Linked DNA regions of Saccharomyces cerevisiae S288C. The gene in region 1 interacts genetically with each later gene. Each region holds a gene or a part of one and is shown in the gene's direction. Other genes may lie near its edges.

Region 1 (4,117 bases):
CTACGGTTTCGGTGTAGGCAAAAAAATGACCTCAAGCTCTAAGAGTAAGGTTCCGATATTCAAGTCCTTCAATTTAAAAAGCTACCAACGAAACCACTATTATTCATCCAAAAAGGAAAGGAAACATGGAAGTCCTGATATTGATTCTTTGTTCCATGAAACCAATGGAGCCTCAAAAGTAAGAATGACTGATGCCGGTAAAATGGATACGAACTCTCAGTTCCAAGAAATATGGGAAATATTGGGTAAAAATGCGTACACACATAAATCTTACTCTGAAGATCCAAATTCATGTTTGGGATCAGCACTAAGCGATCATGAAGAAGAAGAAGAAGCAGGAAAACAACAACAGCAACAGCAGCAACAACAGCAACAGCAGCAACATTATGGAATGACGTCGAAGTCTAGCAGTCCTGATGAAGAAAAAAAAAATAATAAAGAACCGAAAAGGGAAAGCAGAGTCTCTCCAGAGGAAAATGGCGAAGAAGAAACGGGACACAAACAATTTAAATTGCCCAAGACCAGTACTTTTTCTAGTGGATCCCATGATTCAAATTTGCAATCTCCTTTTTACAATCATGAGTATCGACATTACGCAAGAAGTAAATTCGAATGCAAGAATCAGTTTAGAAAGTCAGTTTCTCCCATTAAAGAGATACCTGCAACAACTAGTGCCAATGAAGGATGGAACATTTTGAGAGACATTATTGAAAAACTCAATATAAGCAATGTAGACGATCGAAATAAAGACTTGCTGTTTCGTCGGGATGAAATAGGTGATAAAAATCACAGCGACTCAATCGACATAGAAAATTTATCTATCAAAGAACCTAAAGGGATGAAAAGGAGAAAGAAAGATGATATATCTTTAGAAGAATTGTTCCAATCTTTACCAAGAGAAAAAGATTATTTTATGATGGATGCAATTAATGACTCGTTAGAATCAATCAATCTTTTTAAAAAGCCGAAGACCACTCAGAGTCACGAACAAGGTGGAACTTTTGCCCAAGCAGAAAGTAATCGTGCAAAATTCAAACCGTTACTAGAACAGTGTGGAATTACACCCGAGATCTTAGATTTGGAAATACCAGAGATTCCGGAATTTGATGCAGTGGCTGACCTTGAAACATTGAAGCTTAACGTGCAGCTGTTTAATAACCAATGTAACAAACTTAAAGAAACAATACATCAAGTATCATTACAGCGCCTGAGAGCAGATACGCAGTTCAGTGATATGTTAACCCAAAAGCAAAGTATTATGGTTTGGAAAACATACCTAGAATTTGATAAAAGTTTAATGGACAAATTGAACATCTTACAAGAAAGACAGATGCAGGTCATTAAAATTTTTTCCGAAAGATGTGACGGTAAAGTATAATCGAACGCTCTTCTTAATGAGCATATACCCGTCGTCCTTACGCCAGGATGGAAATAATTTGAATGAATAATGTAAAATATATAAAAGTATCTAGTCAGTACATTTCATGTCTCAATTATTAATATCTTAAATATATATTTAGTTATGGAAATTCAATAAACTACTGAAATAAATAGAAAATTCTTACAGAAAATGGTAAAAGTAAAAAAAAATTACCAAAGGGTGCACTTGGCAATTTAAAAGTACTTATAAACTGGTTTGGCTTCCAAGTGAATGAAAGTGCTATGGGATTATCATCAGGTAAGTACAGTGTATCTTACTAACATTGGCCGAGCGTTTATTGTTGTTCCGTGGAAGTTTATCATGATTTCCCGCCCTTAATCGAAATCAAAAAAAAAAAAAATAAAGGGTAAGGGATTCCTAAAAACCAACAAGATGAAGGGCTGATCTGCAAGAAGTCTAATAGACTTATAAGGAATACAAACCCTAGTTCTTGCATTTCACGTATACATCTTCAAACCGTGCGAAGCAAAGGCGCAGAACAATGTCAAACGAGGATGAAACAACTCGTTTAATGTCTTCAGATGAGATGGACTATTTATTGGAAACGGCTGGGATCAACGCCTTGGAAGAAATCATTAGTCAAAATGACAGTACTGGAATAAATTTGGATACTAATGAAACAGCTCAGGACAGTAGCTATGACTCTATCCGGCGCTCCCCCAGTATTTTGAGTGTTGCCAAAAGCGTTGAGGGAGAGCATGGACGTAGAAAACTATTATGCCTTTACGGCCTTGTTATGATTATCTGTATTGCGGAGTCTATTTCTATGACTGCTACAATACCGTTGGTGATGGACAAGGTAGCGGAAGGAATTTCAGATGAGAATGGACATTATGATTCCGTGGCTGTACAGACAATAGTTTCCAGCATTTCTTCATCCACTATGATGATAGCAGGGGCAATCAGTATTTTCATGGCTGGTAAGTGGGGAGAATTATCCGATAGAATAGGAAGAGTGCGTGTTTTCAAATACATGAGCGGCATCAGGGTCATAGGGCTTCTTACGCACGTCTTTACCCTATCATCGAAAATGAAGTATCACAAATGGGCTATTGTTCTTACTGCGTGTATCGTACCATCATTCGGTGGCTTGTTTGCGCTAGTGGCGAATGGAAATAGTTACGTTTCAGATATAGTGAAAACTGAGCACAGAATGGTGACAATAGGAATAATGATGAGTTGTATATATGCCACTATGGGCGTAGGCCCAATGTTTGGGTCCTTTCTGGTGAAGTGGACTCATGGAAACGGGTTCATTCCTATTTACACATCAATAGCGTTTGTTATACTGGCGCTTATAATATGTGAGACAATCATGGTGGAACCGCGCCATGAAACCCAAATGGCCCATTCACAATCAACTTATACAAAGAGGAGAGAGAAACTAAGATCACAATCGGGTTCTGACGATGCAAGAAATTACCAATCCGTTACTTATGGAAAATTTCAAATAATGAGGTTAATGGACCTGCTCGCTCCAGTAAAAAAGTTATGGCTGAAGCCCGACAGTGCAGGGTCTTTAGTACCCCGGCATACCGTAATATTACTCATTGTACTCGATATACTATTTGTCTGTGGAACGACATCGTGTATGCCAGCATTGATTTTGTTTTCTACATATGAGTACAAATGGCATGCAGTAGAGCTAGGTTATTTCATATCGATACTGGGTATCGGAAGAGGTGTTGTGTTACTGGTCGTATCACCTACATTACTGTACACGCTAAAGAGGATTTATCAACACTTGAACCATTCGATAGACAAGATAGACATCTTTTGCATACAGTTTTCTATGATTGTTATAACACTGAGTCTCTTTGTCATGATACGATTTGGCGAGAAAACTCCCACATCCATGATAATATTCGCTCTTTTACAGGCATTGAGCGCGTTTTGTTCACCAACTTTGCAGTCTGGTATCATAAAGTACACCTCTAAGAAACATACAGGCGAGATGTTCGGAGCAATGGCTTTGGTAAGGTCCTGTGTTATGCTTGTCATCCCTCCCATCCTCCTTAAGCTATATGGAAGTACTGTCTCCGTTAATCCTAGTCTGTTTATGTATATACCGTTCTCAACAAGTATTGTTGCCATCTTGTTGACATTCTTCCTAAGAATTTACAAGAACCCTCCGCTGGACGGGCCTTAAAAACATTTACATACCGTATACACCACATATTTTTAGTTACTTGTTCGAAGCTGTGCTGCTATTCGTTCTTGCAAAGCCAGTGTCCTAACGACTTTGCTTATGACATGATTCAACATAGTGTTGTTGTGGTTTTTTCTACGTAATCATGATGATCTTTTTTTTCGCGCTATTAGGGGGGAGGGAAGGCGGGATCTGGTAAAAGTTTGACATAATAATCAAGGGGGATATCGTATCCCTTTACTTGAAAACTTGAAAAATATTCATCTACTATCTCTGGCCAGAAAAACGTGAGAATTTTTAGGTGCGAAACATCATAGAAGCTGCGATTGTATCCATCTAAGAGTTTTAATTTGATAAAGCTAAGGAATCTGACCCTATACTTTTTTTTTTGTTTGGCTTGCTTGCATTTTCAATCGGCTTCAAAGGTAGCACAGAAAGTAGTGTTCTCTTAGCTTAAGCAGTGCATGAATTATAGCTGATTGTGTGAAAGAATCTTTTTTTTGGGTATGTCGACTGAAGAACAAAAT
Region 2 (2,719 bases), on another chromosome or scaffold:
TCGCCAAATGACGCATATTTGTTGCACTTTTCCTCTTTAATAAGTTGCATTTTCCACTATTTGGTGTCCAAAGATATCAAGCTCAAGGGAAGCTGCTGGATCTTACTAAGGGTTTTACTTTTAAGATTTTCAGAGTCCCATTTCAATGACTATTGGTCTATGATCAGTTACTGTTTACAAACTAATTTGCAAGAATTTTATGAATCACTTCAAATACAGTCAGAAGTCGATCCACAAACAATATTGCAAGTATGTAAAACTTTGGATTTGCTACTCTTACTCAACATGGAAGGCTTCACCTCTACGAATGAGTGGATCTTTGTTATTGATACAATAAATTGCGTATATAAAACGAACTCATTCGTCGCGCTGGTAGATGAAATCGCAGAATTCAAAGATTACGAAATAACCAAAACTGATGATCTTGAATTACCGACAACTTTAAAAGATGGTCTCCCATTATTACGAGGCATTCACAAAATCGAGAGACACACGCAACTAAGAAGCTTCTTCCAGAATTTGAGTTATCTACATTATGAGAAAGTTTACGGACTAGGGTCAGTTGATTTATATGGTTGTGGTGAAGATCTCAAAAAAGATATTCTGTCATGAGCATAGCTATGAATTTTTCTTTATAAACCGAAATATAGTTATACGCTTTGAGTAAAGACACAGGTTATCAATTATAACGTGAAAGGTTTTGCAACTGTCACCTTGTAAAGCTGTACACACTGAGGACTTCCCATCCCGCTTTTCTCGTTTCAATAAGTTTCACATTCCATTTGTAAGTATCGACAAACCTCTTAATGACTTCTTTAGGCTTATTTCTTGCACAAAATAATATATATGCAACACCATCTGGAGAAAGAATTTGTTCTAATTGTCGTAGCAGTTTATCAGTAATCGCCATCCCGTCTTTTCCACCCAATAACGCTAAATCTAGCCATTGGTCTGCCTCCTCTCTTGATCCTGGGACATCTGGCACACATTCTGCTGGCACATATGGTGGGTTAAATATTAGGACATCAACCTGATTATTCCGAATACTGGAGTTTAAATCAGCTTGAATCACTTCTAAAAAAGAACTTTTACATGAATTTAACTTCGCAGTATCCAAAGTTGCTTCGAGCGCCCATGGGTTGATATCAACAGCTAAGTGGATGGAATTTTCCTGCGGTATTATTTTGTTTTGCATTAGAAATGTTGTGACGATACCTGATCCCGAACCAATTTCGCAAACGATGGCCAAACGATTACCAAATTTCTGTTTCAAAAAATCATGCTCTTTTTCCAAACAGTCCAGTATGAGGAAGCTATCCTCAGCAGGCTCATATACTTTATCGTAATCGCATTTTACATAAGGGGTCGGTAGCATACTTCACCTTTCTCACCCTGTGTTAAGTTTATCAATATTATATTTCAGAGTATAATTATATCAATATTTATATGAAATCAAATTCCGATGGCGTCTTCGGGAAGGCAAACGAACAACTTTTAGCTGAAAAACCAAAATTCTGTTATTCAAATGAAGTATTCCGACAGAGGAATAAATAAAGGAAGGTAATTAACTTCCTTACAGCCGTAACCGATGATTGTTAAAGTGAAGACACTGACTGGGAAGGAGATCTCTGTTGAGCTGAAGGAATCAGATCTCGTATATCACATCAAGGAACTTTTGGAGGAAAAAGAAGGGATTCCACCATCTCAACAAAGACTTATATTCCAGGGAAAACAAATGTATGTTCATTCAGTGGTTAATTATCTTTTAAGTTTATTTACGTTTTTGAGACCTTACTAACGACCAGGATAGTGATGATAAATTAACAGTAACGGATGCACATCTAGTAGAGGGAATGCAACTCCACTTGGTATTAACACTAAGAGGTGGTAACTAGAACCATTTTCCGTCATTTATGGAATTTTATCGAAGGTGTTCATTAGAAAAGAAGACAAAACGAACATAAGTTCACTTGGACTTTGGAAGGCTACCGCCCCCAATTTGTCAAAAAAAAAAATACATACAATTTAGTCTATAGAGTCTGTTATAATAAATTAATTGTTTTTAGACGAGAAATGTGAACTAAAACTGTTTAGTATCTATCAAATTATCCGTTATAGCATAGTACGGCTATATATGGTCTGATTGCTGGTCTCATATGACTTTATGGTTTAAATTTCATAAAGCTGGCCATTGCATGGTTCGCGCTGGAAAGAGAGGAAAAGCGTGGTGATAAAGAGCAAACCAAGCATACTGTTATATGCGATTACAGACTATCTGACCAAAAGACATATTTCGCCATTTCTTCTCAATCATGTCTTCCAGGGCAATTTTGTAAGCACGATTGGATGTCCTCTTGTAGTATACCGAATTTCTCATTAAGAAAAGCATCCTTTGCGCTACAACTTTATCAAGTGGAAGTATATACTAAACTCGGAGCATGCTTTTGCCAACGATATCAGTCTTAGCAAAGGGACTTCTAAGGACGTTATTGACGCCTGATTAATCTAATCAAATATAGGTTTGTCATTTTTTTAAACCGAATGGATTGACTTTTGTTTTCATCATAAGTATTACTCTCTGATAGGATCTCTGTGGTACGCTAAAATCTATCTGAATTGTTTGGGACACTATGCATGAATTTCTTATCAGTTTAAAATTTCTATTAAGAGGATAATTTATTTCATATCTTGGGTAGATGAACCATTAGAAATGTTCGAA

What was found.
Region 2: mutations in YJL163C (region 1) and RUB1 together harm fitness more than expected from each alone (negative genetic interaction), as found in Saccharomyces cerevisiae (2 studies listed by BioGRID).

The regions. Positions count from the first base shown.
Region 1 is NC_001142.9:111,139-115,255, reverse strand, and holds YJL163C (uncharacterized protein), read left to right. Parts: upstream 1-1,922; coding exon 1,923-3,590; downstream 3,591-4,117. Other genes in the region: JJJ2 (Jjj2p), read left to right, coding at 1-1,378; cAMP-dependent protein kinase catalytic subunit TPK1, read left to right, coding at 4,097-4,117.
Region 2 is NC_001136.10:732,794-735,512, reverse strand, and holds RUB1 (NEDD8 family protein RUB1), read left to right. Parts: upstream 1-1,588; coding exon 1,589-1,737; intron 1,738-1,810; coding exon 1,811-1,895; downstream 1,896-2,719. Other genes in the region: DOP1 (Dop1p), read left to right, coding at 1-612; MTQ2 (S-adenosylmethionine-dependent methyltransferase), read right to left, coding at 710-1,375; HPR1 (Hpr1p), read right to left, coding at 2,677-2,719. UniProt on the Saccharomyces cerevisiae protein: Ubiquitin-like protein modifier that can be covalently attached to lysine residues of target proteins. Activated by the dimeric UBA3-ULA1 E1 enzyme and conjugated by the E2 UBC12 to substrate proteins.